Drosophila melanogaster: one gene and its partners. Changing the gene in region 1 together with any one later gene gives a genetic interaction. Each region holds a gene or a part of one and is shown on either strand. Other genes may lie near its edges.

Region 1 (3,788 bases):
CTTTGTCGAGCAAACACTTTTTGCGATTAGGTAATTATTCATGCGCAATATTCAAATGGGTCTGGAACGTGCCGGGATTAGTCGAGTGTAGTCGGATGTAGTTGTTGGACCACAAGGGATCGGTCTATCTGAACGAACATGTGCTCAGCACACTACTTTTGTATATATAAGAAAAATGGTAAAGGGCGGGGCGGGGGCCAAAGGCGAGGTCGTTTCCCAACTGCGCAGTTTCTTAAAGATCTATTTTTTTGTGGCGTTTGTTTGCCGGTTTTTGGATACATTATAAATATGTATGCATATCTTTGCAATAAGTGGGACACGCGCTGCTGGGGCCACTGACTGACTGGCTAACTAAAAAGCCGGCCGGTATTTCCAGCTGTCTAACATGTGTACCGCCCCCCAAAAAGCCCCCTTTCGCTAAATTTCTTCGTAAACAGTTCAAACAGTTCAACAAACTGCCGAAAATACTACTAAACCGAAACTGACTCAAGGTGAAGTGGAAAGTGTTCTATCACATAACGCGTGGCCTGCCAAGGTTGAATTGCCGATAAAGAAAGTAATTTGGCACTGAATTTCTCAAACATAAATTAAAATTTATAATTGTAAATTGGCAGCTACTGAATCCCAATGGAAGGTGTGGTTCTCTTTTAAATAATGTGTGCCTTTTTTTTATTGCATTTTACTTAAGATCTACGATTTTACAAGGTAACGGGGTCAATATGACCGAGAGAACAAACAAGGTGGAAGAACTAAGAACTTAGCATCTAGTTAATGGGTACACTAAGCTTATAAGATCGGTTTTAGTGGGTGCATCTAAGAACTAGTTGGATTTGGCAGTTGCTGCATGGCGGTGTACACGCCACACCCCCTACAGATCCAGTTGGAACTGTTCCTGGTCCTCAATCTTCAGCGACTTGGTCTGCTTGATCAGTTCCGTGGGGACGGGCACGCACTTGCGGAAGGGAGTACGCGGAGTTCCCCTCAGCAAGCAACTGGGCACGTTGGACGGCGGAGTTTGGCTCAATGGGGAGCCACGGAGATTCTTCATGAAAGCCCGCTCGTAGATAAGTTTGGTGCCTGGAATTATAGGAAAGCGGAAATTTTTATTAGTCAAGGTGGTCTGCGTTGCATCAGAAAGGTATTCAAAGTTCCCCACTGATAAGCCAGCTGAGTAAACGCTTCTTTGCCGCGCTACTCTGAGTCACGAACTGTGGAACATGTGCTCGGGATTATCTTCCAACTGACTGACTCGGCGAGATGGCCCAGTTTCATCAGCCAAAAAATGGTGAGTGAGTTTTACAAAAATAATGTATCACAACTCAAACAAAAGCTTGTTTGTTGTTTGAGCAAAGGAAAGAAACGGTATACTTGTTTATGTTTTCGAAATATGTTGATTAATTTCATCTTGATATCATATCTAATGATAAGAAAATCACTCCACTTTCCGGAAGGAACTTAATAATACTCGATGTAGTCTCAGCTTCCAATTTTCGAAACTTACCTCCAGGAGTGGTGGAGTAGAGGGTTCCGCCGGGCGTCGAGGAGTACACCTCGGGCATCTGGATCGGATCCGAGATGACAACCTTCCTGGTGATCATGGGCAGGGCCTGGGTGATGGCTTGACGGGCGGTGGGTGAAGCGGACATCTTAGCTGATTGATTGGATTGGTTTCGAAAACTTTCCGCTGGACGTGTAAGCACACTCGATATGGCTGCGACAATTTGATTGTTTACACAAACTGCGTTGTTTGTATTTCGTTGCTTGTATCAGCTATAGAGCTTGTGTGGCTGCTATGTGTTCACCGTTGGCTGTTCGCTAGGCGATTGCTGGCGGTATTACGAAGTGTGGCTCTATTTATACCCCCCCATTCTTACTCTCTCTCGCTCTCTTCTCGCTCTTTCGCCTGCTCTCTCGCCTGATTATTCTGCTTGGTCGGCTGATGTTTTTTGTTTTTATCTGGTGTATTTTCTGCGTAGTTTATGACAAACCGGCTGGTTCTTGTTGTTATTGCCGTATTCTAATATATTCCCCTATTGTTCTTATTTTTGTTGCAGCCTGCACACCTCGGAGGTTCTAGATGATAAGGGGTGTAGCGATGGTGGGGGGCTGTCTTGAGGGGCTTCTCGCCTTGAGCTCTTGTTTATCTTTGGTCATTTGTTATTGTTTAATGCACGGCAATATTATTGGTAAACAAGTTAGCCAACAGCACTAAACGCCAATCGCATTCTTTTCTAAAAACCAAGTCTATTGTCGATCTTGCTAGGGAAATGATGATGACTCAGGTGCAATTGGGATCTTATCTATGGCTGTCTGGGAGTCAAGAGGTGTTCCGCAGAATTTCGTGAAGTACTGCCGCTCTCTCCATGGGGCCATTATTTTGCACTCGTTTTCGCGAAATACCATTAATTAGCATAAAGACACGTCGCCGGCAATCGTGACGTAGGCTATGAGTGCCTTCTATGCATGTGCGAACTCGCGGAGCATAGCAATTTGAGCAACGATATTGCAGGTTTTTATGGGCTAAAAGATACCCAGCATTTCACTTTTTTTCAGGCGGAAAGTGTTCATTATTATCTGGCACGAGCCGTTTTGAAATAATTATCACGAAAAGATACACGTCTTACATAACTTACTTGCTTTATTTACTTAGATATGCAATTTTAGCGTGATTTCTATATTTAGGAGTGCACAATCCAAAAGTACGCTTAGCTCATATCAAAATTTAACTTGACTGATATGAAACATACATATTTAATATCTTTTCTTTGGCACATTGACTTCTTAGCCGTTTAATATTAGCGCACATATCTAAAGAAATACATATATCATATCACCAAATTTGGTGATCGAACCCTTATTAGTTCCCAAGTTCTTTGAGGTGGAATATCTTGTTTGGAATCAAACTAATATGCCCCACTGATCGCAGCAAGCATAGGGTGGATCCAAGCAGCGGCACGAGCGGTTTTAGCTATGCGGGGGCGATGTTGACGATATTTAATCGTTGGACGCATGTAAATAGTGCTACAGGAACTTTTGCCTACGTTGGCGCCCACGATTCGACGTAATTCGGATATTGGCCACGGGCCATTCCGAGGGATATGGGGTTGACAAAAGGTGGCCACGTGTGTTGATCTGCGGCGATCATGATCTCGATGTGGGACAGGGGATGGCGCCCACCTAGAAATCTGCACAAGGTCGATACTTAAGCGTGCTAATATTTATGATGGCTAAATGGGGAAGCTTGACAGACCTTGAAAGTAGATTTCCATGTGACGAGGAGCATATTTGAATTGGGGAAAGCATGACCCAAATCCATCAATTACACTAGATGGGGGTGGGAGTTAGCTGGGTGCCAACTGACCCCCAAAGTAGTAAACGGTAAACAAGGGAGCCAGAACACGAAAAACACGGACAATTTTGCCGTGTCATCTAGCACGTAGTCCACAGCATAGAAACCGCCCTACGTGCCGGCTGATATGTTTATATATTTTATTTTTTGGGTGAGAGAGCGGCTCTTCTCCGCATTTTCCACCTCCATTAGGGCTTATCAACCCTCGAAGAAACCAGTTCGGATTTTGCTTTCGTTTTCATCAGATACAATATGATGTACCTGCGCAAAGAGAGAGAGACAGGCCTATAGCCGCGAGGAAAGAGACGGCAGGCAGTTTTCCTACTGCGTTGCAGCCAAGTTAAAATGCGTCTTGAGATATTCCTAGCCGGTTCTCTAAGCGCCGAGGGGTGTTTTTCCCATCCGCCGGGGGACAGGTAATACATACGTACATATATAG
Region 2 (4,765 bases), on another chromosome or scaffold:
ATAAATAAGAAGGTGGCGCCGGGTTACTTGAAAGAAAACATATGGCGATATATGTACCGATAATTGTTTTGGTGTCGAATTACGGAAATTACTAAAAATCAACCGCCCACCCGTTGATAAGAAGGCGACCCCTTCCCTTGGCTTTGCCCTCGAGATGATCAGAGATCTGGATAACATCCATTGATGCACTGTAAAACTGAGTTGGTTCTAACCGCCCTTTACCACATGGGATAAAATAGAAAAGCAGCCTCTAAAATCGTCGGTTCTTGTTAATTAAAACAAAAACGCTGACTTTTATTTAGTATGAATCACACAGTCATAAGTTGTTGGCTGGGGGTGGGAGGGGTCAACTTGAAAACAAAAACAAGAATTCAGGGTCAGCCAAGGCGACCTATGAATGCCCTTACGTGTTTTTTTTTGCAATTTTAGGCAGTTGAATGACTGAAGTAAGCAGGATTTATAACGAATTCGATATGGCCGTTGAAAGAAAAGTTTCCATAATGAAAATCTAAGCCATTAAGGCATATTTCAGAGCCAAATGTTCAAATTCCGTGACCGAACGGGTGGAGTTGATACCGCGGAAAGGGTATAAAAAAGTTACGCGGCACCGATGTCTCATCTCTAAGTCGCGATGCCACAAAAATGGAAATTGCAGACAGTCAGAAAAGTCTTGAAAAGCACACGGATTGGCAAGTTTTCATCGAAGTTTCACTTGCATTGTGGCGCAGCTCGTTTGTTTTTGTTTTTTGCTTCCATTTTGGCCAGCCCTCGCCTTTATAGCGATTTTTTTTTGGGTGTGAGCTGCGCAGTTTACGCTGCTCCTTACTTGATTCTCTGCACCGGCACCTTCAGTTGGCCTCTGTCGGCCATTCCGCGGTATTGTTATTTTTCAAACGCACCGTGCAATCGGCTCAAATTTGTGTTCGATTAAGGAATATTAAATTGTTTTTATTTGTATTGTTGAGATCGTGCTGTTAAGCGTCTGTTAACGAACACAGGGTGACTCCTGTTGAACACAGGGCGTTCTAGGCTGGCGCTGGTTAATATCGATAGTGTTTCATTCGATTGTTATATCGATATAGGTTACAGTTGGCATCAGTATTTATAAAATATACACAAATACACGGTGCTAATAAATTCTTGTTCGTAAACAGTCATAACAGGAAATTGCATGTTAAAAAAAAAATAAATAAAAATAATTAACAGTTCCTAAGAATCAAATTCTTTTAGATAAAATCATAGCATACAAAATAAAATTCAACAAAAAGTAACAGTCGATAGTGATTCACTGCTTAACTGATTTAAATAATATCGATATTACTGTTGTTGAGTTGACAAGCAGTGCAAAGTAACAGAAACGATGACCACCTTATCGCGTTTTGGTATTTATATATGTATGCTATCAGAAATGAGATATTTCAGCATCAGTTGGGATTTCAAATATTTCACTTGGGAACAAATTTTTAGATGTGTATGAATAAAAATAATAAATGCGTCTTCCAAATACTTGTTCGGCCTTGTTAAATTAATTTTAATTTATAAATTTAAGCCAATGGACATAAAAATCAATGATTTTGGGTAGATTATGATTTAGTTATTAAGCTGGCTTTAATCTTTGGAGAAAAGTACGAAGCCCCCTGCGTGCGACACTGATTAACAGCATTCACTTGCGATATTTCGGTCACACAGAGCGCTTAACAGCATATCGTGCCAAAATGAGGAGATATATTCTAAAACAGTAAGAGGTTACACTGTTTGTTGACAAAAAGGTAAACAAAGTGAAAATTTCGCAAAATGTGCAAAATAATTAAGTAAGGGTCAGTAAAAGGTGCTACTGGTTAATCGGACCATAACAACTACCCATTTAACACATACCATGCATGACTTGGATATCTCGTGAAGTACACAAACCAAAACAATGAGCGACTCCGACGAAGGTGAGATAACACAACTTTTAGTGAAATTATGCACAATATGCTAGTTTTGCGCAAATTTAGTCAGAGTGCAAATGAGCATTATACGCTTGACTATGCAAATTACCTAAGTGGTGCAATTAAAACTTCAACCAGTTGTTATTGGTTTTTCAACAACACCAGCAAGGGCACAGGGTGACATTGGTGCAATGGAAGTGGGCGCGCAAAAACTTTTTTCAAACAGCCACCCCCCACAGAAGCAACTGGTGCAACCACTGGACCATCCGACACCCACGAAGAGACAAATCAAAACAAATGCCACGCACTCACCCAATGCCACATTCTTGAACAAGTGCAACAGTTGCCGCGCTTCTTGGGCTCCGACTTGCGCAGTGCGACATAAAACGGCCTGGATCAATGACCACAAAAACGTGGCCATCGATTTTCCGCAGTTCAGTTTTTGCTAGCGGCGCGTTCGGTCATCATACCGATGCCAATTAATTTTTGGGGCTTATTCGCACCGATTTGGGTTACATAATGTCATGGAAATTCAGCATGGAACATCCCAAAACTGGAACTGAAACAGCTCTGGAAGCCTGTGACTACTTCGTGGATGAGGTCATTGAGGCATCCTCAATACGGGGTGGGAATTGGTTTATTCCAAAGGTGCTGTGTATTAGTTAACCAAGCAAAACTTATCTTTCACAGATGCCCGCGAGGAAGTGCGTCAGATCAAGCACGGGGAGCTGCGAACGGCAGTGATCTCTGGCGATGAGCGGACTGTGCGGGTGCTGCTGGCAGCTCTTGGAACTGAGCGTCAGATTATAGTCAATATGGCTCCTTCAGGAGCAAACACCCTTCTATTCCTGTGAGAAAAAGTCTTTTAGAATTAGTCCATTTTGAGCCAAACTAATATCGGTCTCGTTTTAGAGCCTGCCAGTCTGGTTACGAGAGCATTACACAGCGATTGCTGGATGCTGGAGCGGATGGTCGCTCCCATGCCGTGACCAAGTACTCACCCTTGTACGCCGCCGTCCATAGCGGTCACTTGGGCATTGCCCGACTGATGCTAGACCATTTTCCAGAACTGATCCAGCAGCCGACTGTAGAGCGCTGGCTGCCGCTGCACGCCGCCTGCATCAATGGACACATCAAGCTGCTGGAACTCCTTATCAGCTACAGTTATCCCGACTACCTCTACCAGACATATCGCGACGAGGAGGGCCAGTGGGAATGGCGGCTCCCCTTCGACGCTAACGCTCATGATGTGACGGGTCAGACGAGTCTGTATATTGCCAGCATCCTAGGAAACAAGCAGCTGGTTGGTGTGCTTCTAAAGTGGCAGCTCCATTGCCGGCGTACGTTGGGCGATTCCGCCAGCTCGGTGAGCACTCCTATTACGCCCACCAGGAAACGTATTTCATTTGGCATTCAGGCTATCATGTCCAAACTGCACATATCTGGAGAGTCAGAAGGACCCGACGACCTAGCTTCACAAGAGTCAACCGAGTGCCAACGGTGTCCCATTAACGTGAATCTGCTATGTGGAGCGGCGAGAGAAACAGCTCTGCTTGCGGCCGTTCGAGGCGGCCACCTAGACGTGGTGCAGTCTCTGCTACAGCACGGCGCAAATCCGAATATTGTAGCCAAGCCAGTTGAGGATCACAACGACCCGAAATGTTGCGAGGAAATATATGGGCTCAGTAATGTCCCCATTGCAGAGGCCTGCAAGCAAAGGTCGCTGGCTATGTTGGATCTCTTGCTTAAGCATGGAGCCCGCGACGATAATGGCACGGCCATTGGAATGGCTATTACATGCGGCGACGAGGCCATCCTGAGTCGTCTTTTGGCCCGACGAGTCCATCCGGACTCAGACTACAAGATCAACAAGAAGGGTCTTCCCACACCAGTGGAGGTGAACGTGTTTTTGCCGTCCACCAGCAACATATCTTACAGTGCTATGTTCCCCAACAATCCAACCATTATTGACTGGCACAGCATGGGCTCCAGTGTCCAGTTGTCTGTTGTAAGGGTTCCCTGGATGGTCAGCGGTGTGTTGCTGCTGAATCCTAAGCTACAGTCGCATCCGCGACTTAATGAGGTTGCTCTGACAGCTATCACGCGAATAGATTTCTCGCACAACGTTCTCACGTCAATTCCACAGGAGCTTTTCCATTTGGTTAGCCTAAGGTTAGTAAAGACAAAGTAATAAGTTTTTCAAGAATTATATTAGTCCTTCATTTAAGGTATTTAAATGTGGCGCAAAACAAGATAACCGATCTACCTGCACCAATAGGCCAGACATATGGGTGTCCGGTACTGGATGAACTCTTTCTACAAGACAACCAGTTAACTACGCTGCCAGCCGCCATCTTTCACCTGCCCGCCCTATCTATATTGGATGTTTCAAATAACAAACTGCAACAGCTTCCCTTCGACCTGTGGCGTGCACCCAAGTTGCGCGAACTTAATGTGGCCTTCAACCTATTGCGGGATCTTCCTGTGCCGCCAATGCAAACTAGCAGTTCGCTGCTGAGCCTAGACAAATTGAATCTGCAATCTTTTGAGGAGCCGCCATCAAACAAACCGCGAAATGTGACTCAGCAACGTCTCACCCATCGCAATCTATGGTCGGCTACTTTGGACATAACCGATAATGACATGAAGTGGCAGCATGAACAAGATTTAGGCGATGGAAAGACAGCTGGTGTGGGCTCCTCCCAGCTAAGTAGCTTAAATATAGCAAATAACCTCTTCACCAGTATCCCCGCTGCTTTGCCCTGTCTGGCTGTAAACCTAACACGGCTGAATATGTCATACAACAGTCTGCGTTCTATGGGACATGTAACCAG
Region 3 (6,079 bases), on another chromosome or scaffold:
TATGAGGAGCATAAGAGCATCTGCTACGGGGCCGATTGGGCACCATGGAGAAACAAGGACGATGCGTCCTTGACCATGGCCACTTGCTCCTTTTATGATCACACGTTGTGTGTGAGTCGCGTGGATATTAACAAATGAATTCGATATCTGTATATTATGTTATGTGACTAAAAACTAAAAGAAAAATAAACATTTGCTGGCTTATGTTTTTCAACTATCTATAGTTTGTATAATAGTTTGCGGAAAAAACAGAATTGTTCATGGCATTTGGGATATCCTAAGTTTTCCAAAACTAATTTTAAACTGCCAACATCCCTGGCAGGCGATATCGATAACGCATGCAATCGGCTCAGCCCTGGTGCGGTTATCGTAAGTTCTGTCAGCGCATTTTCATTCGAAGTTTGCGAATTCAGAGAAGTGAATGAACTTGAACTGTTTAGTTATGGTAAGTACTAAACGTAGAGATCCTGCTAACTTTATAAACTCCTCATTCTACTCCGCACAGCATCCCCCACAAAATCCAAACAAGTTGGACGCCGAGGATAGCCTGGATCAGGCTATAGACAACATCGAAGACTCAAACGAGGCCAATCTCTATAAGCTTATCGAGCTGGAGGAGCAGAATGTGGCCTGGGAGAAACATCTTGCGGAACTCCAAATTATGATCAGGCAGGTGATGGAAAAGCTCGACAGGAGTTTGGTCAAACAGGAGGCGCTGGTGGCGAAAATGCAGAAGCTGAAGAATCAGAAAGATCAGGAGGGTCAATAATTATTGTACCGGAGGCGTGCTTTTGGCGTTAATTTTGATTTCATTTATAAATACATATGTAAAATATAGGTATCACACGCTTTTCCATTTGATTTTCTCAGAGTAACAAGTAGAAGGCTTTTCTCCTACGCCACCACATTCTGGATCCAGTTGAGGGCGCCGCGAATGCGACGCAGCCGGGCGCGTGCCAGAAAGCTGCATATGAGCAGGTACTCCACATAGGCGCGCCTATTGCCACAGCTGGCCACTGGCATCAATCCGGCGCCCATCTGTGGACGACCCTCGCACATAATCTTAGTGGTCAGCGAAAGGAGCCACTGTAGGATCTGTAAAAAAAAATCATAATTAGCTTAAAAGGATGCTGATGTGGTATCAAACACTGCGACCCACCTCCGGACTGTTGGGCATGCCGCCCGCCTTAAGCCAATTGGATGGGGCCCAGAGGAACAGCTGCACCACATTTGCCGCAATATCCGGACTGACCCGCTTGGACGGGTTGGGATTGAGGATGTTGTAGACCAGCTGTTGCAGCAGCGGCGGGCAAGCATCGCTCATTGGCGGCAATTGGTCCTGTCGGTAATCGCTGTTCCTCAGCGAAAGCGTCATCTCACCGCGTTCGCGCGCCATCCCACCGCTGCTCGAATAGAACGGATTGCGGTTGCCAAAGATTTCGTAAGCCAGGGCACCGCAAGCCCACAGATCGGCCTTGCCATAATTGAGTACGGCAAACGGACCGGGCATCGTATTGAAGATCTCTGGCGCCATCAACGCCGCATTGCCGCCCTTGTCGACGTCGTGCGAAACGTACGGCAGGCGCAGGCCATGCACCTTGTCCGCCAGACAACAGCCAAAGTCGGAGAGCACTAGCACCGGCGCCGCATCGTCCTGCAGCTCGATTAGCACATTATCAGACTTTAGGTCACGATGGGCAACGCCGTGACGGCTCAAATGGTTGACAGCCTCGAGCATTTGAGCCAGCAGCAGGATGCGATTGCGCGTGCTCAGATCCTGGCTATCGAGCAGGCCGCGAAGACTGTGATCGTAGCGTTTCATCAGCAGATACAGCGACATATTGCGGCCATAGCCCTGTGGATTGATGCGTTGCGGCTGCGCCACCGGATACAGGAGATGGCCATCGGGAAAGTTGCGCACCTCGTCGCAAAAGAAGCCAAACATACAGACAATGTTCGGATGCCGCGGCAGGTGAACAGTTTGATTCTGCAGCAAACGTTCCCACTCATCGGCGGCCTCATTCATGCCGCGCTGGCGTGCCGGTACCGTCTCCTTGTACATGGCACGCAGTATGGACAGAGCGTTGCTCTGGATGTCGTAGTTGAACATCATTTTGAGTGCCAGTGGATAACTGTCCACAGAGCTGTTGATGTTTGAATTCGCTGGAGAAGTCTGCAAGTTAAAGCAAAGAGCGTGATGGCAAGTTGCCATGCAGATTTAAGCTTACATATTTACCACATTGAAGGCACTGCTGCTGGGCTCCTGGTTCTGATGCTGCTCTTGTTCCTGATTCTGATGCTGCTGTTGCTCGTGGTGCCGCTGGTCCTGTTCCCTCGACTGGGCGCCCACGAAATCACTGGCCGCAGATGGCTGGCTGTAGTGGAAGACGTTGTCCACAGAGCCGCCAAAGTTGTGAACAAAGCGCGACATGTTCTGCAGCGGCGACATCATCTCGTGGGTACTCCAGCTATTCGGCGCAAAGGCTGGCGTTGCCTGCGGCTGCGCATCGGTATGCAGGGATGCACCATCCGAGGCAACATCTTTCTTGAAATCCGCTGCATAGACGACAGCGGCACAACCTTTGGCTATGGGCGGACCGATTTCCAAGTCATCGATGGTGAACTTGCTGTCTAGCGTATCGGAGATCTCGTCGTGATTCCAGGCGTTCTGCAGCCGGCTAGCTGCCTCCCGAATCTCCCAGCACACGCCCTCCAGTTCATCCTCCTTGCTGAGCACACCCGATCCGGAGGCCAGACTAACGCCAATCAGGGCGAAGAAGGGCGCTGAATCGCCAAAGAATAGCTTGCGGGTAGCGCGCTGGCGCAGATCCTCCGAGTAGGTGGTGGTCACCCGGCTGAGGATGTTGTCGATGAACAATTTGCGCGCATGCTGGCCCACTCGGAAGATTCCACTGCTGCTGGTGGGGCTACTGCCGCTGCCATTAAACGGTGATCCCGACGGGGAGTTGATGGTGCGGGGCACTACATTGACCACCGATTTGGCCGCCTGCTGGGGCGTTGTCTGGCGAAGAGATTGGATGCGGGTTAATTGGACATGCCTTGATCATCCGTTTAGCTTGACTTACCCGCAGCACATTGGCAGCGGTGGAGGGTAGGGGAAAGCCTCGCTTGCTTCTTGTCTTCAATTGATTCTGGTCCAAAATGTTGGCGTGTATATCACGTTTACAATAGCTGCGCAAAATGTAGCGACCATGTTTGATCAGTCGCACGGTCAGCAGTCTCACAGACATCTTTCGGCCCGCAAAGACCTCGGCTCCTAGTGCCTGCAACTGAATGAAGCACCTTAAACGGTCTGTCATCTATTAATTTAATTTTTAATTTTTACCTATTCTTTAAGATTTGTGGTGCTTAACTCTTGCTGCTGCTTCCTCTTCTTCTCCGCCAATTTTGCTCATGTGTGCGATCGATAGCGCCGATTTATAACCAAACAGCTGCTGTCGTTTCGTTTCGGTTCGGTTCGTTTCGATTCGATTGTTTTGTTTTTGCGTCGCAAATAAATTTTCTGTTTGTGGGTGGTGGTGGTTGTGGTGCAGCTGCGGGGCGAAGTGTGGGGGCGGTGGTGGCAGAACTACAAGGCGAAATCGTCGAATCGAAAGGGTTTATTTTTGCAATGATTATCCAAAGATATATCGCCTTTTTCGATATCTGTGTGGGCTAGACTGATTTTGGGCTATTTTCAACTGAACAAAACGATTAATTTACGACCTCCAACTTGCCTGGCAGCCAATTTTTAATGTAATGCGCCTACTTCAACGTTTCGTTTCGATTCGATTTGGTCGTTAGATAATCGCTGGTCAGCTGGATCTTTTCATTTGTCACGGAAAATGTGCGCCGCAATAAACACTTGTTTAAAAGCTTGCTTTGCTTATATTTCGCTATAAAATAATAGCTAAGTGTGCAAGAATTTACGATAAAAACAACGGAATAATTTAGAAACAGCAAGGCGTTAGTGTGACCACACTTACGGTATATCTTTAGAATCGATAATGACTATCGCGTAGTGTGGACTCGAATCATTTGGAGAATTCAAAAACTAAAAACCGTTATTCACCTGCCGTAAAATCAACAAATTAATACAATCTATTGAAATATCCTGCTACACACAAAAATTTATTACACGAAACTAAAACAAAATCGTCAATAGCCGCACAGCGAATCACTTCGGTCCCAGCATCTCCTTGGGATTGACCCACTCCTTGAACTGCTCTTCGGTAATTCCGGTCTTCAGTGCCTCCTCCTTCAAGGTCGTCTTATTCTTGTGCGCCGTCTTGGCGATCAGGGCGGCCTTGTCATAGCCAATGTGCGGATTCAGCGCGGTCACCAGCATCAAGGACTCGTTCATGATCTTGTCGATCCTCTCCTTGTTGGCCTGCAGTCCCTCCACGCAGTTCTTGCTGAAGGTCATGCTGCCATCAGCTGGGAGGAGAAGGTTATGTATGCATGTTTTTCCACTTGGAAAACACATTTCCGACTCACCCAACAAGCGAATGGAGCGCAGCACATTGGACACGACCAGGGGTTTGAATACATTTAGCTCGAAGTGCCCGTTGGAGCCGCCGATGGTCACCGCCACCTGATTGCCCATCACCTGGGCACACAGCATGGTCATTGATTCGCATTGCGTGGGATTCACCTTGCCGGGCATGATGGAGCTACCGGGCTCGTTCTCCGGCAGCATTAGTTCGCCCAGACCGCAACGCGGACCCGATCCCAGCAATCGGATATCGTTGGCGATCTTCATCAGGCTGACGGCGATCGTGTTGAGCACACCATGCACCTCCACCATGGCATCGCGGGCAGCCAGTGCCTCGAACTTGTTGGGCGCCGACACGAAGGGCAAGCAGGTTAGCTCCGAAATGCGCTTGGCCACCTTCTCGGCGAATCCCTTGCGTGTGTTCAGACCCGTACCCACAGCAGTGCCGCCCAGAGCCAGCTCATAGACGCGCGGCAGACAGCCCTTGATCCTTTCCAGACCGTTGGTCAACTGCTGTGTATAACCGCTGAATTCCTGGCCCAAAGTCAGCGGAACTGCGTCCATCAAGTGGGTGCGTCCGATCTTGATGATGTCCTTGAACTCATCCGACTTGGACTTGAGGGCATCCCTCAAGTGTGTAACCGCCGGAACAAGCCGCTCGTTCAGCTCCATGCCCACCGAAATGTGAATGGCCGTGGGGAAGGTGTCGTTGGAGCTCTGCGACTTGTTCACATGATCGTTGGGATGCACCGGCTTCTTGCTGCCCAGTTCGCCGCCCATCATCTTAATGGCCGCATTGCTGATCACCTAGTAGGTTTGCCAATGGCATGGGGCAGGAGAAGCATCCAGCTATACACATTTCTCTCGTTAGCCCTATCTAACAATCTTACCTCGTTGGTGTTCATATTGGTCTGGGTGCCCGAACCGGTTTGCCAGATGACCAATGGGAAGTGACCCTGTTTGTATAGCTTGCCGGAAATGACATCGTCGCAGGCGCAGGATACGGCATCCGACACCTTGCCATCTAGTCCGTAATCCTTGTTGACCTCGGCACATGCCTTCTTCAGTATGCCCATGGCCTGGATCACCGGCATCTGCGGGCAGTTTGGGGATTAATTGGCTATGGCAAAGCACTTGGTAGATGCCAGAATATGTTGGTTGGTTGGTTGGTTGCCTACCGGCATACGTTCGCCTATGTCGCCAATGGGAAAATTCAATTTGGAGCGCATCGTCTGTGCGCCGTACAGCTTGTCCGCCGGCACCTTTAGCTCCCCGAAGGTGTCCTTCTCCGTACGAAACTTGCCATTCTCCTTGCCCTTGCCGCCCTTACCGCCACTGTCGCACTGCAAAGATGCCCCATGTAGCCATGAGTTGCCAGCGACCATTGTCGCGTACTTACATCCTTGGCACGGAGGCCACTGCAAACCACCCAGAGATTGCGCCTAGCCAGATGCAGACCATTGTTTTGCTTCAGCATTTTCAATTATTATTGGTTCTGTGTTTCCGAGCGATTCATATACAACAAAACGATCTGATCTAGAAAATCACACTGCGATTCCGATGACAGCGATGATTGAATGATGG

What was found. A genetic interaction does not mean that the proteins touch.
Region 2: of Thor (region 1) and Lrrk, extra expression of one rescues a mutant of the other (dosage rescue), as found in Drosophila melanogaster (2 studies listed by BioGRID, with this or other methods).
Region 3: of Thor (region 1) and Pink1, changing one suppresses a phenotype caused by changing the other (phenotypic suppression), as found in Drosophila melanogaster (3 studies listed by BioGRID).

Annotation. Positions count from the first base shown.
Region 1 is NT_033779.5:3,476,474-3,480,261, reverse strand, and holds Thor (thor), read right to left. Parts: upstream 1,829-3,788; 5' UTR 1,647-1,828; coding exon 1,502-1,646; intron 1,078-1,501; coding exon 869-1,077; 3' UTR 650-868; downstream 1-649. UniProt on the Drosophila melanogaster protein: Repressor of translation initiation that regulates eIF4E1 activity by preventing its assembly into the eIF4F complex. Hypophosphorylated form competes with eIF4G1 and strongly binds to eIF4E1, leading to repress translation.
Region 2 is NT_033777.3:20,633,720-20,638,484, forward strand, and holds the start of Lrrk (Leucine-rich repeat kinase), read left to right. Parts: upstream 1-1,760; 5' UTR 1,761-1,918; coding exon 1,919-1,937; intron 1,938-2,096; coding exon 2,097-2,369; intron 2,370-2,379; exon of another isoform or gene 2,380-2,468; coding exon of another isoform or gene 2,469-2,556; intron 2,557-2,621; coding exon 2,622-2,781; intron 2,782-2,843; coding exon 2,844-4,103; intron 4,104-4,159; coding exon 4,160-4,765.
Region 3 is NC_004354.4:6,681,729-6,687,807, reverse strand, and holds Pink1 (PTEN-induced putative kinase 1), read right to left. Parts: upstream 3,968-6,079; 5' UTR 3,738-3,967; exon of another isoform or gene 3,681-3,737; 5' UTR 3,347-3,680; intron 3,291-3,346; 5' UTR 3,252-3,290; coding exon 3,087-3,251; intron 3,023-3,086; coding exon 2,237-3,022; intron 2,174-2,236; coding exon 1,160-2,173; intron 1,096-1,159; coding exon 895-1,095; 3' UTR 770-894; downstream 1-769. Other genes in the region: CG3184 (uncharacterized protein), read left to right, coding at 1-138; CG44303 (uncharacterized protein), read left to right, coding at 443-445, 506-769; Fum2 (fumarase 2), read right to left, coding at 4,178-4,437, 4,498-5,302, 5,386-5,589, 5,674-5,838, 5,895-5,972.